2 linked regions of the Lytechinus pictus genome follow. The protein of the gene in region 2 purifies or fractionates together with the protein of the main gene of each other region. This does not show direct contact. Links are inferred from orthologs where the notes say so. Each region holds a gene or a part of one and is shown on either strand. Other genes may lie near its edges. The genes, in order: structural maintenance of chromosomes protein 4-like and condensin-2 complex subunit D3-L-like.

What was found.
Region 1: the proteins of condensin-2 complex subunit D3-L-like (region 2) and structural maintenance of chromosomes protein 4-like purify together in Homo sapiens (co-immunoprecipitation; 3 studies listed by BioGRID and IntAct, with this or other methods). This does not show direct contact. The link is inferred for Lytechinus pictus from reciprocal best matches to the Homo sapiens genes NCAPD3 and SMC4.

What each region holds. Positions count from the first base shown.
Region 1 is NC_087260.1:4,776,267-4,793,020, forward strand, and holds the start of structural maintenance of chromosomes protein 4-like, read right to left. Parts: upstream 6,781-16,754; 5' UTR 6,743-6,780; coding exon 6,551-6,742; intron 6,056-6,550; coding exon 5,861-6,055; intron 5,222-5,860; coding exon 5,042-5,221; intron 3,479-5,041; coding exon 3,314-3,478; intron 2,221-3,313; coding exon 2,093-2,220; intron 589-2,092; coding exon 448-588; intron 1-447. UniProt on the Homo sapiens protein: Central component of the condensin complex, a complex required for conversion of interphase chromatin into mitotic-like condense chromosomes.
Region 2 is NC_087250.1:11,493,982-11,511,106, forward strand, and holds the start of condensin-2 complex subunit D3-L-like, read right to left. Parts: upstream 8,378-17,125; 5' UTR 8,341-8,377; coding exon 8,271-8,340; intron 5,362-8,270; coding exon 5,197-5,361; intron 3,486-5,196; coding exon 3,324-3,485; intron 2,031-3,323; coding exon 1,732-2,030; intron 827-1,731; coding exon 693-826; intron 1-692. Other genes in the region: uncharacterized protein LOC129267861, read right to left, coding at 13,188-13,299, 14,056-14,236, 14,694-14,763, 15,193-15,317, 16,545-16,674.

The sequences.
Region 1 (16,754 bases), on a different chromosome or scaffold from region 2:
CTGTGATAAAAAAACCTGTATTTTTCCCCCAAAAAAGTGTATTTCATAATAAAATGCTTGGCGCACTCGCTCATCGCGGCACTCAAGCTGCATGCAAGCTAAAATGCGCACTGCTCTTGCAGATGAAAAAAAAAAACATTGAAACATGTGTATATCTTCACCCTGGTTTTAACAAAATGACTGAAATTACATTGATATAATAACCATATTTGTGTACGTTTTATGAAATAGAGACATATAGATATTATTTTTCTCAATAAATTACAATTTAGTAAAAAAAAAAATAAAAAAAAGGTCTGAATGTGGGTTTTAACAATACACCCTGTATAGATTTGAAATTGAAAATGGATCTATCACTCAATTTGTAATCAATTAGAATACCATATAGTAATCCTTCATTATTGCTCTTATTATAGGTATCAATAAAAAGTGTGATCAAGACCTTACTTGTAGAGTTTTTTGTGTTCCTTGATCTTCTCTTTGTTCTCTAAAGCCAGAGTTTTGAGACCTTCCTCCATCTCTTTCAGTCCATCCTGGACAGCTTTCCTCTTCTCCTGGGCCTTCGCTTCATTCTCATTACACTCAGAGCTGGAATAAACATCACAGAGTAAAATCATTAAAAGGGAAAGTGGAAAGTTGTTTTTTTATATAAAAAGACAATTCCATCTCCCTCAATCCATCTTGGACAGCTTTCCTCTTCTCCTGTGCCTTGGCTTTATTCTCATTACACTCAGAGCTGAAGTAAACATCACAGAGTAAAATCATTAAAAGGGAAAGTGGAAAATTGTTTTTAATATAAAAAGACAAATCCGAAAAGCACAGAGGAGCGAGTTCTAAACGAGATCAAACAATAAGAAAGTTTACCCCTGCCAATTTTGCTATTTCAGCAAAGCCATCATTGCCAAAGATAAAACAAATGTAAAAATGATGAATAAATATAAAACCAAAAAAATATATTATGTACTTGTACTTGCTATCTATGCAAAAGAGTCAAATCTTTCCCAAAATCTTTCCCAAGATTAACAATTGTATGATGGTGGGACCTAAAGCTACGCACTTTTACAAATGATAAATGCTATGACAATTTAATATTTGAACGGATTGTCTTACCCTAATTTGTGAATTGTGATAAATATTCTAAAGATCATTGACCAAGCAGAAAATATTGCAAAGATCACTATAACAAAAATCCTGCTGTGTTTTCCGAACACCTCTTGATTTTGCCGCCCAATGAAGGGGTCCTAAAGCTACCAACTTGATGAATCATGCAAAGAAATAGCATTTCCTGTGCCTCAATTTTTAAAATGTGTTCACATTATTATGAAATTAAAAGGAATATAACTCTAAAATTCCAAACATTTGCTGGTTTTCTATGCATTCAAGGATTTATAACAGCCTCTGTAGAAAAAATTGAATAGGAATCGTTTGGCACACTGCAGTCATAGCTCCACACACAGTGTGCATACAAAGGCATCTTCAGATTCAGAAATACCATGCAATGCTGGGACAGAACTGGTAGAATACTGAAACAAATTTACCATAGCCCGTATTCTGAACTCTGGTGTTTTTGTTTATGTACTCTATGATGCAGAAATAAAGAAATTAGGGCAAGATGAACAAAAACATCATACAATGACGGACATGACGTCATGGGCCCATTTCATAGAGGACTTTCAACTGTTGCAACTTTGCCATTATGGCAACTACCACGGAAACCTTGATTTATGATTGGCTGCTGAGCCCTGTTTCCATGGTAGTTGCCATAATGGCAAAGTTACAACGGTTGTAAGTCCTTTACGAAACGGGCCCCATATCTTTTGACCAACAGACTAACAGACCACCAAACCAACAGGAAAACTAATTATTAGGTTTCTGCCGAACTTCGTTCAGGCGAGAACAAAATTCATAACTTTCTGGGAATCATAGCTAAACTGTTCTTTCATCTTTCATCATTAAATCATGGGGGAAGGTGCAGTTATCATGAGAAACATACAATGTGAACAAAATCATGACATTTTCAGCTTCCCGTAATGTAAAGCACAGAGTTAGAACAAGGGAAGGAGGCTATAAAGCTGTGACATGTCAAACTTACATGTACTTCTGGTAGAGTTTGTTCTTTTTCTTGGTCACCTCATTCTCAGTCTTGAGGAATTCCTGGGCTTCTTTCATTGGTTTCTCCAACTCTTCCATCTCTGATTCCACTGCCTTGACACGGGTTAACTGGTCAGTTATAAATCAAGATGGTACACAAATAGTGAATAGGCATGAGTGCCATGGTGCGAGATTTTCGCATAAGGCAAAATAAAGATGCTTTATTGAATAGAACGTCTCTTTCTTTCACCAAATGTGAAATGTTGCACCATTGCACGAATAAGAATATTCGCTATTTGTGTTGTACAACGCCTCGGAAATTGGCAAAAATACAAATAATCGATTTTTTTTCAATGAAAGCAAAAGGAAAATCCCTCAAACGCACATTAGATCTACAGAAGCAATGCACATTTAGCCAGAAAGCCCTATGCGTATTGCAACTGCATTTACAAGCACATGCAATGCGGTGAATCATAATTTTTATAGTGACTTCACCTTTTCCTGACCCGTGCAACGGTACATTATGGCCGGTACATGTGCAACGGTACGACTGTTTGACATTAAGCCTCCCATTTGCTCGTGTACAACAAGCTAAGTAGACATTGTGCAATACTCAATAAAAAGCCACATAGCCAGTTCAGTTATAAAAACTGCTCTACCAGAGGGTCCTGCATAACATTATAAAGTTAACATTACCCTTCCATTTATATGCTGAGTGCCAAGCTAGAAGGCAGAAGTTTCCATTTCTAAGAGTCTTTGAAATAGTTTGGCTGAGAATTGAACCCTTGACCCGAGTTCCAGTTCACGAGATGGGGATTCTAGTCCTGAACCACTACGCCAGGTTAAATTGGTCACTACGAGGATTAAAAACTATTTAAGAAACTCTTTGGCCTGTTGCAGACAGGGTTGAGTTTTAACTGCAACTCACAAAATCAAATGGAAGTCCCCAATGTGCACTTCTAATTTGGTTTTAGAATCAAGTTTTGCTTGATACTTTGCATTTGAATGTGCCACTCCTGCAATGGGGAGCTGTTGTGGAGTTGGTGAAAACAATCATGGTGAGCTTTCAAGTTATGGAAATTCAGTGACATACAAGTAAGAGAATCTTGAAAATGAAAACGTCAATAGCTGGATTTATATAGCCCATTTTCTAGAGGATTCAAAGTGCAACAATTTTTACCCCTGCTTTAGCTCAATTCACCGCTTTACAATAATAGCTTACCTTTTCGCCCCTTTCCTCATTGAGTTCTTCTACTTTCTTTGCGAGCTCCTCGATGGATTCCTTGAACTGGTTGCTTCCGATGATGTCCTCAAGGTATTCTAGCATGCCTTCCTCATGTTCTGTCTGGGCTTTGGGTTTCATCATGGCTATCTGCTCGACCTCTCCCTACAAACAGAGAGTTCGTCAACAATGGAAAGACTTTCAATCTTATTGCATTTAAAGGGGAATCCGGCCATGGTCAAGAATGTTGTGTTGAAAAGGAGAAAAATAAATTTAAACAGAATGGTGAAAGTTTGAAAGATATCGGACAAGCAATAAGAAAGTTATGGCTGCTTTAAAATAGAGATCCGGTTATCCCTAAGACTATGTAGATTTCAAATTGGCAACTGTGTAAGTAAAATATTACATGTACAAGGGGCAAGGACAACTTTCTCACAGGCTGTGTACCCAATTATCAGGGATTTGTGATTTTCTCCATTCCCCTGGGGCGGTAATCTTCATATAGCCCAGGTAGTATACTGTTTTATGTCCTCATGAAAAAAATAATAATTTGAAGTAAAACTTTTGAAAAAATGACATTTTAGCCATTTTATTTATTGGAGTACATGGTAGAGTAGTCCTTGCCTTACATCACTATGACATATGCAACCAATTTGAAGTCTCCATGGGTAAAGTGATTACCAATATTTACAACTTTTTAAAATTCATAACTTTCTAATTGTTTGTCTGATAGTTTTCAAACTTTCACCTATCAACTTGTCTGATTTTTCTTTTTCCTCTAAAAACAAGTTTTTATTTGGGTTGGTTTCCCCTTTAAGAATACAGGCAACTCTATCTGCTCAGTCAATCTCTTGGGACCACAGAAATTTGTTCCGAAAATTCCCCAAAAGTCTTGTACAAAATAAGAACACACAGGATCACCAAGGGTGAAAAAAATTGTTATTTTTCTCTCCCTAAATGGAAGACAGTTGAAAGGTATAAAAGGTCTTGGGTAATCATTTACATCTGAAATTAATTTTGGATGAGATTATCATTTTACGATTTTTGTGCATTTTTCTGCAGATGATACAAGTGAGTATATAGACTAACTCAAGGTAGGTAGTGTTATTTCTACAGGACCATTTTTTCCCTTCACATCGAGGGTGATTGCTGAATCTTGAGGGCTATTTCTTTCACTTTCAGGGCATATGTTTTATGCAACCAGTAAGCAAATTGTGCAGTAAATGTAAATACCATTATTCTACCAAATGTAGAAAATTAATTTCTCATTACACTCAGAGCTGAAATTTCTTATTCCTGAATATTGTTGGATGGTTACCCCACAGCATGCAATTTATGGCATTTTAGGGGCGATTTGAGCTGGCATAGGGGCAAAATTGCCCATCATCCTCATGTATTTGCTATGCTAATGTAGCTTTGCCCCCCCCCCCCCCCCATGCAGTGTTAGGTCATAGCACTGGCACACAAATGAATGGGGGGGGGGAGCTTGGAAGGCCATGGACCCCCAAAAATTTTCACGACCAAGAAAACAGGGAGAAAGGAATTGGCAAGGAAAGAGCTGAAATATAATATTATTTTTCTACATATTATTTCAAACTCTATTGATAACAAAATTAGATTTTGTGATAAAAAGGTCAAAATTTAGACTCACTCGCAGCTGTTAAAGAAATTTTGCCCCATACACCATTTCTGGCCCCCTTAAAATGTTTGGCTTATTACGCTACTGACCTGTAGGATGAGGAACCTATTGTGATCGAGGTCTACTCCAGCTTGCCTGAGGAGAGCCGTGCATTCTTTGAAGTTGACCTTCTTTCCGTCCAGGTAGTAGCTGCTGCTGTTGTCCTTGTGCGCTGTCCTTGACACCACAAACTGACTGTTGGGTACCACTTCGTACTCATCGACCCCGGCCTATTCAATATAGGGAAATACATCGAGGGGCGTTTCACAAAGCAGTTCCAAAGTTACAAGCGACTTTACGAATGACCGAGTCATTTCTCATGAGCTAAATTCACACCCATGATTATTTGGTGCGCATTTATAACTTTTCTCAAGAAAGGATCACCAGTCATTCGTAAAGTTGCTCACCCTACACGATTCAACTACGGTACGATTTACAAAGAAATGAATTTTTCATAAAATATGAAAGTTTCAAGAAGTAAAATTATTCCAGTTGAAGTTTGGCATATATGTGTAAATGCGAGGAATACTAAAATTCAAATTCTCTTTTGATGCAAGCCTTCTGACCTGAGTAGTATTCAAATCATCTTTAAGTTGCAGTTGATGATAACGTCATTACAATTTGGAATTGAATATGCTTTCATTATCTTTTCGACAGGAATGCAAGAATTTCAATTAGATCATACAGTGTATATCACTATTCGGAACTTTGATCGGTATCTTTTTAATAAGGTTTTATAGGTAGGAATATTCATATCAAATGCTACTACAATTTCTTTAATATCAGATTATCACAATAGATTATGCATTGTATGCCGGAGTTAAACCAACATAATTTTCATAAGTTTCCTAAAAAAACCTCTTACTCACCCCTGTATCAATGATCTTCTGAAAGTGGACAGCTACGGTGCAGCTCTTCAGGTCCTTGTGATCCTCCGACTTATGGATGAGAACTGACAGTTTCTTGGATCGAATCTTTGAAGCACGGTAGCCAAAGACGAACAGCATGGAATCGATGACATTAGACTTTCCACTTCCATTCGGCCCAATAATGCAAGAGAAACTCTGCATATAAATACAGCCGTGGAATAATTTTCCTGGTAGCACATCACAAATTACTCCACATTTTTTTAGGATTACTCCACAAAATTTCTGAATTATTTTCTGGTATATATGACTAAAAAGAACCAGAACATAGTTGAAATCTCTCACAACCAGAAATGCTAATCCAATTCGAGAAGAAAAATTATTCTCTGGAATAATATCAAACTTGGATTGAACTCTTTCTCCCTCTCTCTCTCTCTTACTCCTTTATTCTCTTTTCAGGTAAGCAGGGCAGAAATTTAGTACATACATATTCACAACTATAAATCCTGGTACAGTAGTTTTCAATAGAGCTGAAAATCAATAACAATTCTGTCACATGTGAAACTTGTGCTATCAAAATGGACATTCTCTGCAACCGGATTCTAATTCTGGCCTTGTCCCCAACAAAATTTTAGATGGAAACGTTCGACATAGGGACAATCCAAGACTGCTTCATGTTCTACACCAACTTACCTTATGGAACGGGCCGAGGACTACTTTGCCTGCGTAAGACTTGAAGTTTTCAGTCACAATCTGCGTGATCAGGAGCCTGGGTTGTGCTGTGGGAGTCGAGGGTTCCTGAGGTATGGACTCATTGGTGTCCATGGGCTGGCTTTCTGCTTCACCCTCAGCCTTGCCTTGCTCTGGTTCCGCTAACACTGGCATCTTGTTGCAGTCCTGGTGAATATAGATAAGGAAAAAATAAGCACTGAGTCAATAAATAAACTGACTGATTCTACAGTGTCTCAAGGAATTATTTGAACACAATACTATTACTAGGGTAGGCCAGAAAATGGCACTAGATTTGTGCTGTAGACATGTGTCCAAAATGTCAATACCGTTGGTTAGTTGGCCTCGAATATTCTTTCTATATTTTGAGTGAACAATGTAGACCAACTTAGTGATTTCTTCACATTTTCTGGCAGCCAAGTTGATTATCTATTGATGTGACATGTTTCCACTGCCCCACTCAGAGGCTCACACAGTCTAGGTCAGCATTTAAAGACTTTGAAATGCCTATTTTTAGCCACTAGCCCACACAGTATAGCATATAGGGATGGACCAATATGCATTTTCCAGCACATTTTGTGGAGTATCTTTCACTATTTAGGAAATTTTGAGGTAAGTTTCGAGCAATGTCTGTGATAATAATGCTAATAAAGAATACATCAAGGTAAGGCCGCTGAAACTCGATGTTGAGTTTTCCGTCGCCCGTCCGCGTTATGAAATTTGGCCCGCGTTTGAAAATCAAATTCTTAAAATAATTTATTATTTTACTATTTTGACATAGATCTAGATTCAAAACTGATATAAAACATTTATATAAGCTTTTCACTCGCACAATTACTTGTATACCCGGTATCTTGTAAATACCTGTAAATCTTTTCTTTTTTTCTTGTGAATGGAATGATGCTGCATGCTCAACCATAACGTTAGTCAAACTCGTAGAATCAACCCAGCCATGGCCATGCAACAATGCGCCCGCGCCGCGCTCCAGCAAGTATGCACAAAGATTTACTTTGGTCAGTGTTTTGAACAAATCACGCACGCAACAGCGATAGTACACATGTACGTACATGTACAGTACGTGTACGGTGCAGGCAGAATCTCAATATGATCTCATCGCCGAGCAAGGCCAAGGGCCTAGGATTTTTAATATTTGACGAAAAAATGACGATGTTCTTGTCAGTGACTATTCAAAATCATCAAAATGGCAACACGCTGTTACCATACACGATCACTAACATCGGTCAGATAGAAACTTTTTGACATTTTTAGGGCGATCCTCGCGATGGAAAACTTAGATCATGTACATGTAGATGAGAATGCAAAAATGACCATGGTGTATTAAATGGATTTATTAATGTTTAGATCCATGTTTGTCTGATTTAAATTTCCCATTTCATTTATTGTACTAGTATACTTAACAATATTTTACAAAATGCCAAAAATTTAATTTATAAATTCATTTACTATATACTTTGTGTATTTATACCCCGCTCCGATCTCTCATTGCGGTGTGTCCAGTCCATGTCAATAAGGTAGGGAGGCTCTCAGTGAGAAGGAAAATTAAAGGGACATCCAAGCAAAGAATCAGTGTTATGTGTTGATATGTGACGTATCCCCTACCACTACCAAGCCACCTTAGATCTACAATTACAGTATGAAACAGCAATACAATCCACTCCTTTTCACACATAACTCAAATGAAGATATAAACAGTGTATATGTTGAGATATTACATATTTATTGAGTGTATTGCAGAAAATGTCCAAATTAACAAATAAAAGTGTGTTAAAAGGTTACAAAAGGTCAAACTTTCATCTTCTAGAAAATAATGAATAATGAAATCGGTTCCTCATTATGAGCTGGAAAAAATGGGATGGGAAACTCAACATCGAGTTTCATTGGCCTAATGCTTTTTAGTAGAAATGCTGTTTCGTTTTTTGTTTTTTTTTGTCACTTGTCCTACCTAGATCTAGAATCTACCTACTGTAACTAGGGCTGAGTGAGTCAAAACATTTAAACGCTGTTCAAATGACCATTAAAAGCATAAACGTCTATTTATTTTGCTAGCCGTTTATCTACATGTCTACATGTAGGTCCTAATCAATGCCAAGTGGTGGGCGAAAAATAAAACCTTTTATAAAAAGAAATTTTTCTTAATAGTTTTCAACAAAATTACAATATTTTTAAGGAATAGATTCTAATGGAAAATGGATGCCCATTTCACGGATTTAAAGATGCAAAATCTGACATTTTAGCAACTTTTGGTGTGTGTTTTCTTCTTACCCCTGCTGGTTAATCATAAACACCCTTTTATTAATATGCTTTTCAAATGCACATATTTTCCTTAACCCTGGGAAATTGGTGCCTAAAAACTTTCATGAACACATAACAGAAAAAGGAAACAATGATCAATTATTTTGATTCGATTTTCTGTTATGTGAACACCAAAGAGAAAAAGGAAACAAAAAATTCAATTCAATTTGGTTTTTTTCAAAGGAAAAACCAAAATTTGAAATATGTAGAGTAAAACGGAAAAATAAACGTTTTTTTCTCACTTCAATTTCAGACTGTTTTCCTGTATTTAATTTTTTACACATTCATGACATTCAATTTTCATCACTGACACTGACTGTTCATTTTTTTATTTTTCTTGAATCATAATCAGGGTGCGACAAACCCGCTTGCCCGGGGCAAGTGAAAATGACGTGCGGGCAAGCATTTCTCAAAGTCAATTGCCCGATCGGGCAAGTGGTTGTTTTGAAAATGAAAAGATAAATTGACAGTAAAGTTTAATAATTTTTTGATAAATTGGAATTATCGGCCAATTATCTCTCATACAATGTCATACCAGTCAAAAAACAGTGGAAACATGTCAAATCAGCGCCAATTTACCGACAAAAGGCGACAATTTATCGCCAGCGGTCCCGTTCGATGGAGGCTGCCATCTTACTTTCTAAACTACAATGTGCGCATGCGCTACTAATCGACGAAGGAGCTAGCTGCTGCTGGGGAAACCCCTCTCTCGCCCTCTGAGCGCATGTACGGACGTACACGAGCGATCGCGATCGAGCCAGCCGAGTCTCGAGCTAGATCGCGCTGAATGCATGCAAGCTTCGGACTGACTCGGCCAGGACCAGATGTCCCGTATTTTATTCATTTCTAAAACATTTTAGTTTTTTTTTATTTCAAAAATATATTAAAAAAACACCAAATATTATAAGGATTTTTGTTATATGATTGGATTGTTTTTATTTGCTTGAAGTTTGAACTTTTTCCTCTTTCGTTCTTTTCTATCCTTCTATCTTAATTTTTCCTTCTTGCCCTTTTTTGTTACATATCTATTTTTATTTCCTGATCCTTTCTCTCTCTCTCTCTGTTCATTTTCTTTCTTTCCTTCTTTCTCTTACTTGCCTTCTTTAGCCTATTACATTTCCTTTTTTTTTTTTCCTTCATTCCTTCTCCCTTCCACTAATTTTTTCCTTCCATTATTTTCTCTTTTTTTCATTCTGGCCTCCCTTCATTCTTTCCTCCCTCTCTTTCCTCCTTTCTTTCTTTCATTATTTATTTCATTTTGTCCTTATTCTTTTCCCTTATACTTTCTTTCCTAGCTTTCTTCCTTCCTTCCTGTTTTCTTCTTTCTTTGTTTCTTTCTTTCCAAGAATGAAGGAAAATTTTCTTTCCTTCATTCTTTCTTTCCTCCTCCTTTTTTCTTACTTTCTTTTTGTCTTTCTCTTCTTTGTTTTGACTTTCACACATTTATTCTACTTCCCTTTTCTTTTTTTCTTTCTATATTCAATTCAAAGAATGACAGAAACCTTTTTATCTATTTTTATTCTCTCATCCTTCTTTTATTAGAACTTTCTTATATTTTTATTATTTCCTTCATTTTTCTTTCGTTCTTCTCAATTCATCACTTTTCTTTCTCTCCTTCATTCTTTAGTTCACCCTCCCTTCCATTTCCAATTCTGTACTTTTTTCACAAGTCTAACACTGTTTAGCCTTCTTTCTTGAGCTTTTTTTTTGTCGATTGTTCCGTATTTCATTTTGTGAAATCTGGTCACCCTGGCCAGGACTCGGCTTCAACTTCAAACCAAATAAACAATGAGTCGTAAGACTAAAATAGGCAACTTTTGTCGTCGTGATCGGCGGCCAGAACAACTTGAACAAGAGTCAAGAAAAAGAAATGCCAAGCCAGGGCAGCGGCAGTAGGCTAAATCAAGTTCAGCCAAGACAGAAAAGAATAATAAAGAGCAAAATAATTTTTGAAAAAAATCGGGCAAGCAAATTTTTTTATCACTTGCCCGACAGCTAGGCCTAGGGCTAGGGGCTTAAGTTAGGGCAATTGTAGACAGGAATAACCGTCGTTTCTGGGGATTTATTCAACAATTTCTGACATTTTACTGTAATCCCCATTTACCGACGGTAGGGTGTACGTGTGGGCTCGCATGTGTTCTCATTCCCTCCCTTTTGTCAATTCACAGTCCAAAGTTTGATGTAATTTTACACATCGAATATACAATCTAAGGATGTATAAACAACAAACTTTTAAAACTTGATATGTCAATGTTTGAATACTTTAAACGATATAGATGAAAAAGGCATGCAAAATATACTTTACCGATGTTTAATTGGGTTGAACACGATAAAAATGGTCAAAATGGCAGCCAAACTATAAAATATTTACAAACGAACGTCAACAATCACGAATGTGATATCGATATTGCTTTCGATATTATACGATCTGCTCCATATGCGAACGAAACCGAAGATAAACGATACTACTTATACTAGTACTAGTACTAGTTATAATCGCGATATATCGATTCGAGACATTAAGTTAATAACGATAATGACGTCATTCAAGATGGCAACTTGCAAGAAAAACCGTCAGGTCAGGTGAAAATGTCTTAGATGACAGATTTCTCAATCATCCAGAGGATTTTTTTTCAATAACTCCCGCCCAAGGTATGCAATTACTTAAGTTATTTATATTTCCCTGATAATGGAAACCATGAAACTTTCAATTTTGCTTAAAAAACAGTTTTAAATCGCGATCTATAAAACGCTAGTTCACTATACGTTGGCTGTAGGTACGGGGCCCCATCCCCTTCAGTCTATGTATGGTGAGTGGAGCCAACGTAGTTCAGCGGAACAACCAAAATACAGAGACTGAAGCTTTTGGTCACTCCTAGTACCAATGAGGTCCAAACATTAACATGTATGGACCTCATAGGCGACAATGCGTTAAAAACAGGTTAGAACTTCTAAACGTACTGTTTCCTGCACCCAAGTATGATATTACTCCCAAAATATGAGTTTTGTCCTCGTTTGTTTATCATTTATTAAAAGATTGCCCATTAAATATATTCCTATTCCTAATTTGAATTTAATAAAATAAAGGGAAACTTACATTTAATTTTGAGTCATTTTTCGATCTTTTTTTGGCAGTCAGTCCGGTCACCGTCGAGTGCGATCAAAGCGGTATGAAGCTGATTTTCAGATCACGTGATACGTGTGGTCATCACCTGATCAATCGACTATCCTTTTTTAAAGACCGCAACAATTATAAATTTTATCATAAAATATATATAGAATGAATAATTGCATGATATTATATATATTTCTACAATTAAAAATATTTTGTGATATGAATTTAATATTTGACGTAAAAATCGCTATTTAACAAAATATTTATTAAAAATAAAAAATCAAACAAAATAAAAACGCCTTGGACACAGTGCAAAAAACCGAACAATTTGGCCGCGTTCTTAACAACTATCGTAAGGGGCGCTCTATTTATAAATAAAGTTGCATATGTAGCTGTCTACCGCGACAGGAACAGCCGCAGAATTGAAGCCAGAAGCGTGGGAAATTGCCAGAAAATTCAAGAAAAGAACCGGTGAGTCCGATTTAACAGTACTAATTTATTAAGTAACATTTATTGAATCATTACAAGTAATGTTGTAAATCGGATCAAAAATCAGATCGAAAATCGGATCGGCAGTTAAGCTTCTAAAATCGAAATCGAATCGAAAATCGAATCGGCGATGTTTAAAAACAAAGGAATACATCAAAATGTTGTTCGCGGTCGCGCGCATCTTCCTGACAAAGTCACAAAGACGAATGCATTGGAATGGAAGTCGCCAACATGCGCGATCGTTTGGAACATGTTTTAAAGCCAGGGGTTTTGAGGTGTTATAGCTTTAAAATAAACCGAGTGATTTTTATTAGAAAGATAAACGAAAGACGCATCTTCCGAGCAAAGGCGCAAAGGAAAATAAAATGAAAATATTTCTCATAGATCACAGGTTAATGAACGATCGGCGGGACATCTTTTAGAAGTATTTTTAGGTGCTAGCGATTTAGAATTATTGGAATGATCTCTTACGACGCATCATCTTAAAGTCGCAAGTGCAATTAAAATGAAGTAGAAGACGCAAGCACGCACGATGATTTGAAATATGTTATTAAAATGTTTTGGGTAGCTAGCGTTTTCAAATCAATTTGAAGTTCACGGCGGGGTCCGCTATCACCACGAGGTTGACGAGAAGATTTATATCATTATAAAGGGGGTAAGAGAGTAGCGCAGTGAGCTCCGTCGGTAATACGACCTTTCAAAGTTCACGGCGGCATCCGCTATCACCACGAGGTTGAAAATAAAATGTATATCATCATAAACGATGTAAGAGAGTAACGCAGTGAGCTCCGTCGGTAATACGACCTTTCAAAGTTCACGGCGGCATCCGCTATCACCACGAGGTTGAAAATAAAATGTATATCATCATAAACGATGTAAGAGAGTAACGCAATAAGCTCCGTCAGTAGCACGATCTTTAAAAGTTCACGGCGGGGTCCGCTATCACCACGAGGTTGAAAATAAAATGTAAATCATCATAAACGATGTAAGAGAGTAACGCAATGAGCTCCGTCAATAGTACGACCTTTCAAAGTTCACGGCGGCATCCGCTATCACCACGAGGTTGAAAATAAAATGTATATCATCATAAACGATGTAAGAGAGTAACACAATAAGCTCCGTCAGTAGCACGATCTTTAAAAGTTCACGGCGGGGTCCGCTATCACCACGAGGTTGAAAATAAAATGTATATCATCATAAACGATGTAAGAGAGTAACGCAATAAGCTCCGTCAGTAGCACGATCTTTAAAAGTTCACGGCGGGGTCCGCTATCACCACGAGGTTGAAAATAAAATGTAAATCATCATAAACGATGTAAGAGAGTAACGCAATGAGCTCCGTCAATAGTACGACCTTTCAAAGTTCACGGCGGCATCCGCTATCACCACGAGGTTGAAAATAGAATGTATATCATCATAAACGATGTAAGAGAGTAACGCAATAAGCTCCGTCAATAGTACAGTCTTTAAAAGTTTATGGCGGGGTCCGCTATCACCACGAGGTTGACGAGAAGATTTATATCATTATAAAGGGGGTAAGAGAGTAGCGCAGTGAGCTCCGTCGGTAATACGACCTTTCAAAGTTCACGGCGGGGTCCGCTATCACCACGAGGTTGAAAATAAAATGTAAATCATCATAAACGATGTAAGAGAGTAACGCAATGAGCTCCGTCAATAGTACGACCTTTCAAAGTTCACGGCGGCATCCGCTATCACCACGAGGTTGAAAATAAAATGTATATCATCATAAACGATGTAAGAGAGTAACGCAATAAGCTCCGTCAATAGTACAGTCTTTAAAGGTTTATGGCGGGGTCCGCTATCACCACGAGGTTGAAGAGAAGATTTATATCATTATAAACGGGGTTAGAGAGTAGCGCAGTGAGCTCCGTCGGTAATACGACCTTTCAAAATTCACGGCGGCTTCCGCTATCACCACGAGGTTGAAAATAAAATTAATATCATCATAAACGATGTAAGAGAGCAACGCAATAAGCTCCGTCAATAGTACAGTCTTTAAAAGTTTATGGCGGGGTCCGCTATCACCACGAAGTTGAAGAGAAGATTTATATCATTATAAACGATGTAAGAGAGTAACGCAATGAGCTCCGTCAGTAGCACGATCTTTAAAAGTTCACGGCGGGGTCCGCTATCACCACGAGGTTGAAAATAAAATGTATATCATCATAAATGATGTAAGAGAGTAACGCAATAAGCTCCGTCAATAGTACAGTCTTTAAAAGTTTATGGCGGGGTCCGCTATCACCACGAGGTTGAAGAGAAGATTTATATCATTATAAACGGGGTTAGAGAGTAGCGCAGTGAGCTCCGTCGGTAATACGACCTTTCAAAATTCACGGCGGCTTCCGCTATCACCACGAGGTTGAAAATAAAATTAATATCATCATAAACGATGTAAGAGAGCAACGCAATAAGCTCCGTCAATAGTACAGTCTTTAAAAGTTTATGGCGGGGTCCGCTATCACCACGAAGTTGAAGAGAAGATTTATATCATTATAAACGATGTAAGAGAGTAACGCAATAAGCTCCGTCAGTAGCACGATCTTTAAAAGTTCACGGCGGGGTCCGCTATCACCACGAGGTTGAAAATAAAATGTAAATCATCATAAACGATGTAAGAGAGTAACGCAATGAGCTCCGTCAATAGTACGACCTTTCAAAGTTCACGGCGGCATCCGCTATCACCACGAGGTTGAAAATAAAATGTATATCATCATAAACGATGTAAGAGAGTAACACAATAAGCTCCGTCAGTAGCACGATCTTTAAAAGTTCACGGCGGGGTCCGCTATCACCACGAGGTTGAAAATAAAATGTATATCATCATAAACGATGTAAGAGAGTAACGCAATAAGCTCCGTCAGTAGCACGATCTTTAAAAGTTCACGGCGGGGTCCGCTATCACCACGAGGTTGAAAATAAAATGTAAATCATCATAAACGATGTAAGAGAGTAACGCAATGAGCTCCGTCAATAGTACGACCTTTCAAAGTTCACGGCGGCATCCGCTATCACCACGAGGTTGAAAATAGAATGTATATCATCATAAACGATGTAAGAGAGTAACGCAATAAGCTCCGTCAATAGTACAGTCTTTAAAAGTTTATGGCGGGGTCCGCTATCACCACGAGGTTGACGAGAAGATTTATATCATTATAAAGGGGGTAAGAGAGTAGCGCAGTGAGCTCCGTCGGTAATACGACCTTTCAAAGTTCACGGCGGGGTCCGCTATCACCACGAGGTTGAAAATAAAATGTAAATCATCATAAACGATGTAAGAGAGTAACGCAATGAGCTCCGTCAATAGTACGACCTTTCAAAGTTCACGGCGGCATCCGCTATCACCACGAGGTTGAAAATAAAATGTATATCATCATAAACGATGTAAGAGAGTAACGCAATAAGCTCCGTCAATAGTACAGTCTTTAAAAGTTTATGGCGGGGTCCGCTATCACCACGAGGTTGAAGAGAAGATTTATATCATTATAAACGGGGTTAGAGAGTAGCGCAGTGAGCTCCGTCGGTAATACGACCTTTCAAAATTCACGGCGGCTTCCGCTATCACCACGAGGTTGAAAATAAAATTAATATCATCATAAACGATGTAAGAGAGCAACGCAATAAGCTCCGTCAATAGTACAGTCTTTAAAAGTTTATGGCGGGGTCCGCTATCACCACGAAGTTGAAGAGAAGATTTATATCATTATAAACGATGTAAGAGAGTAACGCAATGAGCTCCGTCAGTAGCACGATCTTTAAAAGTTCACGGCGGGGTCCGCTATCACCACGAGGTTGAAAATAAAATGTATATCATCATAAATGATGTAAGAGAGTAACGCAATAAGCTCCGTCAATAGTACAGTCTTTAAAAGTTTATGGCGGGGTCCGCTATCACCACGAGGTTGAAGAGAAGATTTATATCATTATAAAGGGGGTAAGAGAGTAGCGCAGTGAGCTCCGTCGGTAATACGACCTTTCGAAGTTCACGGCGGCATCCGCTATCACCACGAGGTTGAAAATAAAATGTATATAATCATAAACGATGTAAGAGAGTAACGCAGTGAGCTCCATCGGTAATACGACCTTTCAAAGTTCACGGCGGCATCCGCTATCACCATGAGTTGGAAGAAAAGCGGAAGAGAAGATATCTATCATCTTAAACATCGCCATAGATAATACCGCGTCTTTCTCCCTGAATAATGCGACCTCTAAATAGCTAGCACCTCAAAA
Region 2 (17,125 bases):
AAGTACGAGGTGTGTTCGAATCCCAAGCAAGGTAAGGAACAGTGAAAAAATCGATAGAGAAATATGAAGTGAACAAACCGTAAGTCTCGACAATCTCTTGTCATTTTGGGTGGGGGGTGCAAATGGAACTCTTTCCCATACAAATGACAGAGTTGAAAAAAATGATAACATAGGGTATTTGTAAAGCGCACATATCCACATAGTCAGGTGCTTATTAAAGACGCTCCTATATTACCCCGGCTTACACCCTCAGCTACCGATTCTGGTGCTCGCAGCTTTTTGAGGATTTACTTCCTGTCAGTACCCATTTCACTCACCTGGGTTAAGTGCAGCACATTGTGGATCAATTTCTCGCAAAAGGAAATCACGCGATGGCTGGGATTCAAACTCCCGACCCTCTGTTTCAAAGTCCAAAGATTAATCCACTGGGCCATAACACTCCAAAACAGTTGGCAAGCATTAACCCTAAATGGCATGAGACTTGGAAGTAAAAAGTCAGCGAGCGACACAGTAAAAAAAATTTGCCTGGTGGATTTATTTCTTATGTTATATTGTGTTATCAAGAATCAACCAGTACTATTAAGGCAGTAAAGAAAATAAATGCGAACAGGCCTCATGCATCTTCTTTTAGTGCTAGACTGTCTCCCCAGCCACATGCACCATGATATGCTACCTTTACCATCATACCTCACCTCTTGTTTCCAAAGTGGGACTCCCAGCCCTGCTCCGTGGGGACGCGACTGACCTCGGCCAGACATTGCATGACGTGCTCGATGATCTCTTCAGAACTCTTCAGCGGCACGTTCCTGAGCAAGAAGACAACCTCCTGCAAAAAAAATTGGTGACAAAATTACAAAATGTTGCAGATGATAAACACAGAATTCCCTAAAAACAAATACTAGGTAAATTTTTAAGGATGAATTCAAGTTCTGGAACAAAGATAGTGCTGGTCTTAGGAGCATTTCATCAAATAATTAGTCTGTTATAAGCTACTGAAATCCTTGCCTCTGATTGGATAAGAACAAGAAAACAACCTTCCGCAAAGAATGGCGACAAAATTGGGTGTGCAGTAATAATAATAATTATAATAATAGTATGCTGCATAACATGCTCAATGATCGCTTCAGAACTCTTAGCGGCACATTCCGCAGCAGGAAAACAACCTCCTGCAAATAAGTAGAGCACCTCTTGCAGTCTCACCTGCATTACGTGATTTAATATAGCAGCAGTGCTGGCTTTGAAAACTACTAACCTTTTTTTAATTGTTTAAACTTTTTAAACAAGTTATTTAAAAAGTTTAAACAGTTGTTTAAATAGTTTAAACAATAGTTGTTAGAGTAACAGGCTTAAACAATGTGCTTAAAATTTTAATCAACATTTTTACAGTGTTCAGCACTCGACCCGGGTGAGGTGAATGGGTACCCGGCAGGATTAATTCCTTGCATGCGCTGAGCGCAGGTGATGGTGGCTCGAGCTAAAGCCGGGGTAATAATAGCAAGCGCTTTGTATCCTCAGGCAAAAAGTGCTATAAAAATCCAGCTATTATTATTATTATTAATAAATTAGAGCATTAGTGCATACCGCTAATGCGTGTGGATCCTGCACATGTAATGACTTAAATTGAGCAAATTCTTGTACATTTTTCAAGCAATTTAGGGGGACAGAGCACTACATGTATGGCACACAGTGGATAAAAGCCTGGGTGACAATGCAAGGATCAAAGATAAATACCCTGATAGCATGGTAGATAGCCCGGTGGATGCGATCCACTTCCTGCGTTGTCAAGGAAACCACCTCCTCATCCTCCTCCATATCCTCCTCCTCATCGTTGCCGGCATCATGAGCCTTCTGGGATGCGGTCTGGCTGGAGGTGATGCGACGGGACTTCTTACCCCCCTGTGGCTGGGAGCTCCGATGGCCTTTGGACTCGGGGCGCTTCCGCTTGTTGCTCTCCGTCTTCGGCCAGAGCTTGAAGGTGTCCAGGGCTTCCTCAAAGAGCATCGGCTGCTGGACACGGTATGCTCCGCTTCCTGGAGGATAGTAATAATAATGATAATATTAACATGTCCGTTTATATAGCATAGTTACTATGTGTATATACTTTACTGCCCTTGATACTTGGTACCATATTATTACCCTGGCTGTACCTGAGCCACCATATAGGCGCTAAAGCGTTCAAGGAATAAATCCTAGCGGGTATCTATTCACCTCACCTGGGTGAGTGTAGCACAATGCCAATCAATTTCTTGCTGAAGTTTAATACCTCCTGGCTGGGATTCGAACCAACAACCCTCTGTTTCAATGTACAGCGAGTAATCCACTAGGCCACAGAGCTCCATTGATACAATGTAGATGTTCAGTCAAAGTGCAACAAAGCAAACCAACACTTCGCGTAAATGTTAAAGGCCTGTAGAGCAAGGCCACTTTTCCAAATGGCACATTTCTATATTGAACTGCCAATATTAAAGTTAGCAAAGGGCTTGAGATGGGACTGATTAAATCGCCATGATGAAATATTCACTTTTAAATACGCTTACACAGATTAGACAGAATATGTGTACATGTAATTCTGCAATATTCAGAGACTCAATTCTCCCCTACGTGGCAAGATATCTCCATTTTTTTTTCAATTACAATTACCAATGACTTTTGTCGATTACAATTACAATTTCAATTACTTTCTATAAAAGTCATAAATGAAATCAATTTGTATTCTCTATATGTACTAGCACCACTTATTTCAACACAATTCTAAGTTACAGAGAAACTGACAAGATGGTTTATGTTTAATAAAAAGCAAAATTCTACCCATTACACACTTTGATGCTGAAGCAGTCGACACGAAATATTTTGATATTTATGTAATCATTTTATCGATCAATAAAAACTTTATGAAAAAAAAAAAAAAAGTCATGAAATTAAATCATGAAAACAAGTAAGTTTATTGTAAAGTAATTGAATGATATTAAAAGTAATTGAATTCAATTACATTTTTTTTTCAATTACAATTACAAATAATATATTAATATAGGTATATTTACCCAGGGTAGCCACTTCAGTTTCGAAAACTGTTCTACCAGCGGGCCCTGCTATTATTATTACCCCGGCTTTAGCTGAGCTGCCTAGGCGCTCAAGCAGTCAAGGAATTTTTCAATTCAAGGAATTCCTACCGTGTACCCATTTACCTCACCTGGGTTGAGTGCTTTCCCTTTCAAAATTTCAAATACAATTACAATTGTTACCTGAGAAAATGTAATTAATCACGTAAATGATCAATTACCTTGTAATTGAGCCCATCCTAGGCTTGCAAACTACATATTTACCTGGTATCTCGAGAAGGAGGATATACAGATGAGCAGCCGATATTGCAATCTCTCTTTCCACTGCCGATGAAAGGAGGCTGTCCACCCTATTCATAAAATGGTGCAGTCCAGCCAGCAAAGACCTGGGTACGATTCCATTTTCACAGAGGATGTTCCAAAACCCTGCTCGGAAAAACAATTACATGTACACGAGCGTTGTATTAAAAACTACATAAAGTGACATTTAAAGGTCCTATGAAATACAGCAAAGATGCTGATTTATTCGTTAGCTTAGTGGTTACCAATAACGATTCCATCAAAATTTTACCCGAAAAACATCCCACATCAGGTTCAAAGGCAGTTTTATATTGAAAATTGAGCCAAATTTGCCACGCCCACAAAAAATTCAGCCCAATTTGGTTTCGTATATCAGTGACAATTATGACGTCAGGGGAAGAATCTGCTGAGTGTTGCTGACGTTTGGAGCGTGAAGTGCCTATTGTGGTTGCACGTGTGGATTCAAAGTAAATAAATTGAATTGCTGGAATGATATTCAGAATCTGAATCTTCAAAGTCTGAAGAATCAGACGCAGTTGATGACGATGCTGCAGCCATGATCAAAACCTCATAAAAATCTAAAAAATCTGTTAAGGATGAGCTTGATTGAAACAGCAACTACACGAGAAACATGTGCAATAACTAGGGGTCCGGCTGCACAGCTGAGAAAGCTTTCTTTCGATGACGTCACGATGATTGACAGGTCGATCGGCTGACTTTCTTGAAAATTTTAGTGGGCGTTCCCGTTGAAGTTAATTTCCATAGAATAACTCAACACTGGTTCGTCGTACATAGAAACCGATGGCAAATTCGTATTTTTCAAGTAAAACTACCCAAGAATAGATACATATCCAAAATAAGATGGTTTTTGTGTCATAGGACCTTTAAAATATTTCTCTCCCTCTTTCTACTGCTGATGAAAGGACAGTCCTATTCCTAATAATGAAATGCTGCTGTCCAACATGCAGAAAACCCATTTCATTAAGACTTGCAACTAGCATCACTTTGCCATTATTGTAACTACCATCAAAAACCCTCGATTGTGATTGGCTGCTGAGCCCCGTTACCATGGCAACTGCCATAATGGCAGAGATACCAGAGTTGTAACTCTTCACAAAACAGCCCCCGAGTACAATTTTCACAAATGACATTTCAATGTCATACATGAAAGAACAATTTGCATTAAAGGGAAAGTTCAACTTGAAAAAAAAATGTTAAAATACCAGAAAAAAAAAAATTGATATAAAAGGTTTTTGGAAAATACAAAGATTAAGAAAGTTATTAGAATTTGAAGTCTTTGATATGTGACAGCATGAATTTGCAGAAATTGAAATTTTATAATGGTTCATGATGACTGAACTAATTTTTTATCAGATAATTTTCGTCACTTGATAAAGAGTTGCAGCGGCACTCGAAAGCTCGTGAACTTGTATTTTTCCTTGTTGACCATAGTAGATTGCGAGACAAATGAATACCCTCTAGCGATTATTTCAATCCGCAATAATGAACCTATTTAGTAATTTTTTTTTCTTTCAAGAGAGGGTGTGAAGTAATTTGCCTGTTGATATATTTAATGTACAATTTTGGTACAACATTGTATATGGGGAATCTCCACCAGAGTAGAAAACTATAGCAAAATTGAAAAATTTGCCAAACAAATTGGGCCCCATTTCCTAAAACTTGTTATAATATAATGACTGATATGCAATGTCAGTTTAAAAGCTAGTTAAATCGTTCAATCTGGTCGGCTGATAGTAATCTTGCTACATGTATCTACAGATATTGTGCATTTGTTATTATAACAAATCTTTGTGAAAGTTTAGCGCCCTAAATGTACCTTGTGGAAGTGTGGCAAAGTCCACCCTGGCCCACGGTGTCGAGCAGTCAATGGCGTCTTTCAATGACCTTAGGACTTCACGCTGGTTGGCCCACTGACCTTTGACACCCTCTGGAAGCTCGGGGTTCTCTGTGAAGTCGCTCTCCCATACTGCGTTCACCCATCCTTAAGGGAAAAAAATATATATAACAGGTTAAAAGTTTATATTCAGTTTTGATGAATCCCCGGAAAGCACATGTATGCAGCAATTCTGATTCATTATGAGGGGAACTGCACACACATAGCTAGAAATTCCTCCTTTTGCACCACACTCACACACCCAAATATTGACATGGTTATGAGGAGAAAAATCAATGTTTAACACATTTCTGACATATGATGCTATTATCAATTTTTTTTTGTATCAAATTAAAGAGAATTAAATGCTCCTTAAAGATAGCCTACTTAACAGTTTTCATATACATGTAGTCACTACCATTATTGAGTGAGTGGGCTATACATGGGTCAAAAATACTTTTTTTGTCATTTTAATACGGCAACAGTTTTTTTTTTATTCCTTGTAATTAATATCTCAACATGAAATGACAATATTTTTTGTCTTGGGTCCGAGAAAAAAGTGTGCCGGGCCAAAATCCAAAATGGCAGCCAAACCCCGCAACTGGATCTGGATGTATACGAAACAGGGCCCTCATGGGCATAAACGCATCGGGTACTTGACCTAAATTTTGCCGGGACCGGCAGGTGCAATACACCGGATGAACACCCTAATCTTTGACGAAATAGTGTATTGGTGTTAACATGCATAGGTTGTACCTCTCCTATGTAACACAGGAGCAACATTTGCGTCCTTTCCGATGGATGGAGTGTTTTCCAACTGCATTCACACCTGCACTGAATAGTGGTGAGGCACGCTAACACACAACGCTATAGCATCATACTTTTTTGTTAGACGCGTTTCGGCATGAGCGGGACTGAAACCCCTCATGTTGAGATCTACGATCTTATTCGAAACATGCGCTCTAACCGACTGAGCAACGCTGCCTCGATGACATCGCAGTGAAAAGTTTTGGTCACAACTTCTTTATTTGGTAAAAAGGGGATTTTAAGTAGTTTGTTGTAAAATCAATATTGAGACACGTACACAATTCGCCAATCAAAATGCGAGCGTGCAGCGCTAGCTGATACGTTTTGACAATCAGACCTGAAAAGGGATATTTTGAAAATGTTATGGAATACACGAAAATAATAGTAGGGCGACTGCACACAGAGAAAAAAAATCGCCCTTTTCACCGCATTCACACAGCCAAAAATGGTCATGGTTTTGAGGGAAAAATCAAAGTTCAACGCATTTCTGACATATGATCCTATTATCCAAATTTAATGAATTTGGTATCAACTTAAAGAGAATAAAATGCTCCACATGTATAGCCTACTTACATGTAGTTTACATTTGGTTACTACCATGATTTTGATGTGGCATTAAAAAAGGAAGTTCAAAGTTTTGTATCTTGTGAATAAAAGTACCATATTTTTATAAACTAGTGGGTTTTTGTAGTATTGATAATGGCAAATCCAATGGAAATACTCATTTTTCACCTTTCCTTCAGGATCAAGTGTCAGAATTGCTTTCAAAATACCCCCCCCCCCTCCCATACTCCAGAAAGCCCAATGCAAAACTGCACACAAAATATCTGCACTCTGTGTGTGGTCGTGTGTTTCAGCTGTGAGTGTGTTGTGACAAATTATACTACAGAGCCTATTGGGAGCATTTGGTGGAATTTCATTCGAAATTCATTTGATTATTACTCAAAAACTGATTCATGGATTACTATGAAATTTGGTAGATTTCTATTTTGCACTATTTTTATCAAGATCTGAAAAAATCAAACAGTTTAATGAAGTGGTTGATGAGATAGAAAAATCTTGTGGTCTCCCTAATAATAGGTAGGGCCTACCTGATAAATCAACATTTGCGATAAAATTCAGGCCATAAAACTGATATTTTTACAGAGCACCTTTTAAAAATCAATTTGTAAATCACACAAAATAATGAAAGTTCAATTTCAGAGGTGAAATATATTGTCAGTAGAGGCGCTGGTCCAAAGATTGGGATTGTCCCAGAAAACAAGGATATCCTCATTAACCAAGACAAATCATGTCTTGATAAATTGAGACTGTCCTTGTTTATAGGAATTTTTTTTGTTCACTTCCCCCTACGGGACAAAGACATCAATTACAGGAATTGAGAGTGCTAAAAATAGATTCAGTGATCTTGACTTAATTCCCCCCAGTTCACTGTCTACATACACATGGTCTATTTTTCATGACTTCCAGTCTTCCAATAATCTTGTTATGAAACCTGATTTGTTACATTGACTAGCGTACTTGATTGGTGTCGGCACTTGACAGGTGAATGAACTTTACTACATTTCTTGTGAAGAAAGCTTTAAAAACTGAGACAGTCGCTGTAAAACTGGGACAATCCCAATTTTCTGACCAGCGCCTCTGACACTCTGATTGTGTATAGGCCTAGTATATTATTGACTTCCAAACTTGTTATTTTGACTCCAGATTGAACAAGATTATAAGATATGAAAATCACCCAGCAGGTAATGCGAGCGTGAACCTAAAAATTTTAAGTGACATGATGATGAACATTATCATGATGAATCATGATGATGAAAGATTCTTTTTATTTTCCAAGTAGGGCCTAGTAGTAGTACCGTAGGCTAGTAATTCCCCTCATCTTATTCACTCGTCTTCCTCCTCTTCCATTTCTTTTTTTCTCCTCTCTTTCCCCTTTTATTTGGCTCCGCCAATAGGGGGCCCGGGCCCCTCGCCCCCCCCCCCCCCCCCCCCCCCCTGGATCCGCCTATGAGTATGAGCGGAATATTCAAATATTGTCGCCCGGGAGCGCCGGCGGGCCAGCCGTGCACGTACCGCATAGCGGCACTAGCTTCCAGAGCAGATCAGCTAATCAAAGTTACCTTGCAATAAAATTATAAAAACAACATCACTCTTAAGCAGGAATACCTAACGCTAGATCTCCTAATTCACATTAAGTGTCGTCTCACCTTCATCTAAGAGTTCAATTCCCAAATTTGCAAAGCGTTCAGCGACGTTAGATTCCGGTTCTTTCGCCATCTTCCTTCTCAATCAAATTTCCCGCGCGCGCGCCTGCCGGCCGTACCGTACGTTTTAAAGGAGAATGAAACTCTTGGAGCAAGTTAGCTTTTGTGAAAGCAGAAAAATCAAAGAATAAGATCAACAAAACTTTGAGTAAAATAGGACTAGCGATAAAAGAGTTATAAGCATTTGAATGTCGAGATCACTAATGCTATGGAGATCCTCCCATTGGCAATGCGACCAAGATCTGTGATGTCACACACGTACAACTCTCCCATTTGGACACTGAAAATATACCCCAAAACATCTCTTTTTGCTTATTCTAATCATATGACAAACGATTCATCAATGGTATAATGTTGTGAAACCTCTGTACTTGTCATCTCATAAAGAGAACACCTCACCTTGTGATAGACTCTATAAAAGTGAGAATATAAAGTGAAATAAGTACTAGAGTAATGAGGGAGTTGTACGTGTGTGATATCACAGATCTTGGTCGCATTGCCGATGGGCCCTGAGGATCTACATGGCACTAGTGATCTCAATATTTAAATGCTCATAACTTTCTTATTATTCATTCAATCTTCCTCAAACTTTCAACAATATGTTTCTTTGATTTTTCTCTTTGATATGGATTCAGCTGGTTTCAAGGGTTTCATTCTCCTTTAAGTTCGCTGGACTCGCGCGCGCATATGCATAAACACGCATAAACATCTCTGTTGAGGCATGGATGGTTGAGGCGACACCTTGCACAAGGGGGAAGGGGCACTGAGAGGGGAGCTCAGTGGGAAGGGGGCATATGGCCGGATCCCAAAAAAAATCACCACCATAAAAAATGAGAAAAGAAAGAAAATTAAGAAATTTACTTGTCGGACGTTTTATCCGACAAGACCCATTTTGTCCGACAGTTACCATAGTAACAGTACCTCTCAACCAATCAACATCAGAGAAAGATGTCAGATCTGACAACTTGTCGGATGAAAATGTTGATGAAACACTCCCCTGGGGGGCGTTTCATGAAAGGACTTGTCGGACGTTTTATCCGACAAGTCCCATTTTATCCGACAGTTACCATAGTAACAGTACCTCTCAGCTAATCAACATCAGAGAAAGATGTCAGATCTGACAACTTGTCGGATGAAAATGTTGATGAAACACTCCCCAGGTCTGTATGCAAATGAGGAGACTGATGACATCATCCACTCACTATTTCTTTTTTATTTTATTATATGAAATATGAAATATTCTAATTTTCTCCTCTTTGTCAAGTGAAACAACGATGAATTCCTCTATGAACATGTGGAATTAGCATTGTTTAATGCTATATGGTTCAGTCAAGTTGGTCCTAGTTGTCAAATCTGTAAAAAAATACACTGTAAAAAGTTTACTGTAGATTTTACAGTAAATTACTGGCAACTCTGCTGCACGGTAATTTACTGTAATTTTTATTTTACAGTAAGCTACTGTAGTTTCGTCCTACAGTAAATTACTGTAAATTTGAACTAGCTACAGGAAAATACCGTGAAAAGTGCTGTAGCTTACTGTAAAATTTACCAAATTTTAGAATTGTTGCTACTGTAAATTTGGTTAAATTACAGTAAACTACTGTAAATTTCCCTTGCATTACAGTGAGGTACTGTACACTTCCTACAGTAAAATGCTGTACACCTTCCCAATTTACCCCCAGTACTGTACACTCCCTACAGTAATTTACTGTAAATTGACCCCATTTACAGTATGTTTTACTGTAATTGGCACAACTTCCAATGACAAAAATACACTTGAGTAAAACTTTTGAATGAAACTTTGAAAAGTCTTTATTGCATTAACATGCAGTAGAACTGACAATGCCATATTTCACAAACAGTACAATTTTTGTAAGGATCATGGGCAAAATGCTGGCAAGTAGAATGTGTTGCATAATCAAATTTCAAAGATGACAATTATACAGAAACTATGTACACAGAAATGTCCTAAGAATGCTGATGTTCATTACAGACCTGTTCACTAATGTAGTCAAATTTCATGAATACTTTGTTCCTCTGGATTTGGTAATAGGTAATTACCATGGACTGAATGGTATTACAATAAGTGGCATCCTTTTTGCATGCATAAACTCTTTATGTATTTGTTGGACCTGTCAGAGCAAGCAACAAAGGTTGTAAGAACAACCATAAAATTTGGTTGGTGTTACTTTATCTGCTGTTTGCAATTCAGTTGACTTAAACATTTTGTAAATAAATCTATTCAACAAGTAAAATTCACCTTGCATGCATTAAAGTAGTTGTAATTGCTAACCTTACACAAACTTTCAGGCCACTGTATATTAAATGAGAGTACATTAATGAACAGGTGTGTTTTAAAGCAATCCATTTACATGAAGGGTACCATAATCATTCAAATATTCAGTCATAACCCATTAGAATCAATTACAAGTGAAAGCAATTTTTCACTTATGCAACTACTGCCTGAAATAATGGCAAACTTTCAATTTCTTTAAGAAAACAAATCTGACTAAAGTGAACTTCCTTCTAGGAGGGCTTGTCTCAGCTGACCTTGGATGAACACTGGATGAACATACACACGCACACACGCACACACACACACACGCACACACACAGACTCTCTATCTCTTACATCCACATATCCGTAGTAACACGCAAAATGCTTACTCCATGGTAACCTGACGACAATGCTTCTACCAGAAGAAAACTGAATTTTTAAGTGAAACTTCTCACTTATGAGTAATTTTACATGTATACTATTAATTGATAAAAAATTAAGTGTATGTCAACTTCTTATATATACATATTCCCAAAAATCTTATTAAGACAGAAAACCTTATTCAATCCTATATCAAAATAATGAATAGTCCTAAACACACACTGAACCAATAATTTATATTACAAGCATACAAATACATTAACTGCCATGAATACATTAAATTGTGACAATAATATTACATTGCATACAATATTCCTCACAAATAAAGTTTCTTACAACAGTACTATCAATTTGATATTGAAACTGGCAAGAAAGAACCCGAATGAGAGTATTGCTACCATTGCAAATACTTAATATTTACATGAATATTTGACGAACAAACATGTACAAATATGACCTCCAATTTTGCCAAAGTAATGTTTGTACTGTGACACTTGAACAGCTGCGAAAGTGAAAGTATGAAAATGTTATAATTCTGTGAACAACAAAATACAATGTAGTAAATCCTCAGTAATCATAATGAAGAAAAATGTCAATCTGTGAGAAGTATCTAAAATTTTCAAATTTTTCTGTACTACATCATGCAAATCTGCTATTTTGAGAAACTCTTGAAATGTAATCAAAATGTCACATGCTTTTTCATTTGAGGAATTTCTGATACATTTAATATCCTTTTCTGACTATAAGAAAACAAAAAATTGCTACATCACCTTAAGATTTCCTGAATTTCTTGATATAATTTGGTCCTCTTTACAAAAATGGCTAACAGTCAGCCATGCATGATATGCAATAATGGAGATCACTGTGTCATTCATGTAATAATAATATAATAATAATCTCACTCCACCTTGGTAGGCTGTGTTAAAGCCACATACATTACAGAAGTTTACATCGTTCTCAGTAAACAGCTTATTGCAATATTTGTCAACATCTTGATGACCAAGCGCTTACTACGCAGTATATATATATACATATATATATAATGTAGCACAATGTTGAAATCGAAATTGATTTACAGCAATGTTAATCCTAACTAAAGATGAATTTTCGACCACGAATGTTGGAAATAGATGCCTCCGCTACTGCCATACCAGAAATATATTTCCTAGTTTTTATTTCCATAAAGAAAAAAAAAACCCTCAAGACCTTTGATCTTGTGACTTCAAAATCTAGTCAGATAACTGTTTCTCAAAAAAGCAAATATATGCATTTGATTGAATCCAGAGAGCTTGAGATTTGACTTTCAGACCCAAAATCTTAATAGATCATTGTCACTTGTATATGCACAAATGAGCGAAGTTTGAAGTTGATTCGTCAAATGGTTTGGAGTTATTGCGAGAACGGTATATGTTATATGTACTTTATTGTATTCAATGACCTTGACTTTTGACCTTGAGACCCCAAAATCTGAACAGATCATTGTTACTTTAACATATACACACGAGACAAGTTTGAAGTTGATCTATCAAAGGGTTTTGGAGTTATTGTAAGAATGGTCTATTTCTTATGTATTTTAGTGAATTCTATGACCTTTGACCTTTGGACCCAAACACTTATCAGCTCATTGTCGCCCAGATATGTATCCTCAAGTCAAAAAGTATGAAGTTGACCTGTTGACCGGTTTTTAAGTTATCGCGAGAACGAAAGTGGGACAGACGGACCGACGGACAACACAAAAACATAATGCCTCCGACACCACCTTTGGTGGGCGGAGGCATACAAACAGTGTGTAGTGCCATATATCTATGTTTTTGTATGGTTCAAATTCGGTTGTAAGGAGATATTCTTAACTTTATTTTTCCAAGTATGAAACCCCTTTACATTTACAATTTCTATATGAATTTTACCCCTCCCCCACTCTTACTTGACCTGGATTTGAGAAACGGCTAAAATAAAGTTGTGGGCAATGTCAACTTAATAGCATATTCAAATGAATGTTCTCTCATAACTAGCATGTCGACAATCTATTTCAGCAAGTTTCTCATGTTATGCAATATTGGGCATAAACTCTGTAGTTGCTTGGTCAGACAAAGCTCAACCAATTATTCAAGAGGATGGTGACCAAGCGAACATAGTATTATTGGGTGATATATAAAATCACATGTTTTTAGATGATGGGGTAAAATGTACAAATCAGGAAATTAAAGCCACTGGAAATCAGCAAACCGACGCACAAATGACACTACTTTCGCGTTGCAGTGACTCTTCGACGCATGGCACTTCGACCCATCAGGGCTTATTCCGAGGAGACATCTGAGAGACAGGGAGAAAAAGATATTACAGAAAAAATAAAAATAAAAACAATCAAATGAAAACTGAGGGAGTCAAAATAAATTGACAAACCTAAAATGAAATTTATCAAACAGTAATTAGAGATGGCTCCATCAAGCCAGCTTTACTTAAAAAAGAATACTTTTTAAATCACTTTTTTCTATTGTTAGTACAGAGACACACTCTTCTCTACTCAAGTACGTAATCATTAACCTGCACCAAAATACACCAGATGTTAGTGTGCTAGTCGCTAATAAGTTCTTGAAATTTTGGAGTTCCCCACAGTACTGCTGGGTTTGCTTACTTTCAAAACGTGACACTTGCAATGGAAATCATATTTGGCTCCCAAATAAATGCAGAAGTACTGTGAAGAATGTCTTTGTTTTCTAAGGCAAGGCAACAGTCGGATGTTGCTCGCTCCATCAAGTCGCAAAGCAGTAGCACATTAATAAAAAGCCTATTTATCAGATAAGAAAGTATGTTCTAGAATCAAAATGCTTAAATTTATGAGCTGCTCGGATGTGACGTCACAACATCATAACTTGAAATATTCACAACTCTAACAAAAAATTTTGACGGATTTTCTTCAAACCTTCACCAATATTTTTCTTTATTTTTCCACATTTTTTAAAATCAAGTTATTTTTCAGACTGAAATTCCATTTAGCTAGGATGTCCATGAAATTGGACTTATGTCAGTTCCAGAAAATGGTCCGATATTTTGCATGCCATATTGTACCTCTGAATGAACTCCAGTGTTGCTGCAGCCGTGCTTGGATATTCCAAATTGAGGTTGTAATAGGTGGCAAAAAGGTATGCCACCCCACAAAGAAAGCCTTCAGTTGTTGATGATGAATGGCCAATAACTCTGCTTTCAACCATGACCATCCACTGGGACTTGGCCGAGTCAAATGGATCTCCTATCAAACAAAATAATGTTAAGATTTAATCGTTATGAGCTTCATTTTCTATAATTTGTTTTAACACTAGCTGATGGGAAAATCTCTGGTACAAATTCACTAGAGTAAAATTCAGTTATTTATTTCCAATTGTCCTGATTCCCCCCCCCCCTTATGGACGCGTTACAAAGTGAAAAACTATAATTTATGTTTTTTGCCCAGTTTTAAAGGCTGGGATCATGCAGTATTCACATGTCTCTTTTGTTAATGACTGCATATAATTACAAGCATGGCAAATCTGAAATGCTGAAAGTGAAAGATGTACATATGAAATACAAGTCTGTTTAAGAAAATTGACACAAAATAAACGTACATGTCTGTACAGATTTAGTCTAAACCTAAATCTGAGAATGTTTTAAATGTCTGTATTATATTATTCTAAGAGGTTTGATTAAAAACACTGGAAGTTGTCATGCACCTTGGATTATGAGTTTGGGTGAATCAGATGCATCTCCCTCTTTCTCCATGTCCTCAGCAGTATCTGTAACCTGAAAAGATATGATAATCCCATGTTTCCATTACCATTACACACAAGATTCAACTCTTCAGTGTCATTTAATTGATTTTAATTTTCATACAGCATGCAGTCCCCAAGAGTGAAGGTCCAATACAATCTAGAAATAATCATCAATTAATTTTCAATTATGTACCACCTCGAAGGGGGAAGGGCAAGTGATCTCTCTCATTTCTTTTTTCAAATGGGGGCGTGCCTTAGCAACAAAACACCCCCCCCCCCACAACAAAAAATTAAAAATTGAAGAAAAAAAAGAAAAAAAAAACAGATCTAAGGAAAGGTTCCACAAAGGGTCTTGAAAAGTCCAGAGTCATCGATACAAAAGCAATTATTAAATACTAACTTTTTCACTCAGGACTAATAGCGCAAAACATTTTTCAGGAGAGTAATTATTAAATCTTACATCACGGATGAGGAAAAGGGAGTCATTCCCTTCTTTAAACAGGCTCTGCAACCCTCTCAGCACACCAGATGCTACATCATGCAGGTTTGCATCATCTTTTGCAGCCGCAGCTTCCACGAGAAGTACTGGAGGAAGAGAGAGAGGGAAAAAATAGAAAAAAATAATAAGTTGAATGAGTAGGGTCCTGGGCAGGAGGGGAGGGAGATAGGGGACAAGAAGATAGACATGGAATGAGTAAGAAGCAAAATGAGAAAGAGTTTGACAAGATGGAAGAGATATGAGAAGTAGGAGAAGCCAAAAGAAGAGATAAGAATTAATTAGAATATTAAAAGAGGAAATGAAAAAAAAAAAGAAAAGGAAAGGGGAGGTGGCAAGAAGGAAGGCAAAGGAGAAGAAATTGGTGAAGAAAGAAGACAAAGGAGGTGAATAATTAGAAGCAGCGGGAAGAAAAGGACAAAACAAAAAAGTGGAGAACCGAGAAGTAGAAATATAGAGTTGGAAAAAAAAATTGTTTGTGTGTTATTTGTGATCAACTTTAAAAATATTTACAAATGGATAAGTCTATATTTTCAAGAAAAGTTTACCATTATCAAAGTGTAAAAACTGCAATAGCAAAGGAAATATATATGTGTTATATTGTGAAAAAGACACAAATGAATTCATGGGAGTATCCCCCTTCCCCATCCTTGGCTAATTATATGCACGCGCACGCTTTCAAACAGTGATGACGTCACAATGCAAAAGACCAGACTGTAACAGACGATTGCCCACGGTCGGCCGCGCCGGAACTCCTTGCCATATCGCTAGCGCTAGCGCGCGGTGCATGCATGCGCTGGCTAGCTAGCTCGCACCATAGGCCATACAAGCACTGCACTAGCACTGCATGCTGCGCTGCATGACTGTACTGTACGAGTATGGCCAGGGTTGCATGGCTAAACTGCGTGCAGACATCGGAATCCGATGCAATCTATCTAGCTGATCTAGCAAAAAGTAGCGTAATGAAATTTAGTCGATATGATGGAATTGCTAAGAGGCATTTTAATGATAATTTCAACACATACCAAATTTCTATGCATAGGTCTTTACTATTTTTTAGCAAGTTAAAAACAGTCGAAATTTGAGTCAACACCCCGCACAACTCTAAGTCTAAATCTACACAGTACACATCTTCCGTAGACAACATCCGCACAACACACATTAACACATACATCTTCATAGACAACAGAGAGAGAGCGCGAAAAGTGAGGATGGTGAATGTCAGAGTTCCATGAAAGATTACATTATATGTAAAACAGTTCAACAAAACATTTCTACATGTGAAGGATCTACAGGATGAAAATATCACTACTTACCAGGGAATGTGTACTTGACCGGAGACGTAAAGTTGAATTCAAAACAACAGCAGTTCCGACGGCACTTCTTATCGATCTGACACTCGAAATTTTGCAAGAATTTATGCTCCGCGCCGAGTAAGAGGCGCATGCGCGTGTGACGTGTTGTATCCCAGAATGCATTTCGCGTGCTCAATTACAGTAAATTACTGTAAAGTTGATCTCCCAAAAAAAAGAACTCGAATGATTGCTGTAAATTACCGTGAACCGCCTGAATAATACGGCAAATTACTGTAAAATCATCATTACAGTATCTTACTGTTAAAATTTACATCAATTTACCGTACAAATTACAGCAATTTTTTACAGTGTAGATAACAAAAGAAATAGTGAGTGAGGGACATCATCGACCGTCTCATGTGCATGTCACTGATATGTGCATATCACTTTTTTTCTGAAACATAAGCGAAACTTTATAATGTCATAACTTTCTTATTTCACATCCGATTTTGATGAAATTTTCAGCTTTATGCTAATTTGATTTTTCTCTATATTTATTCAAATAAGCATTTTTCTGGGGTGGACTTGACCTTTAAAAAAAA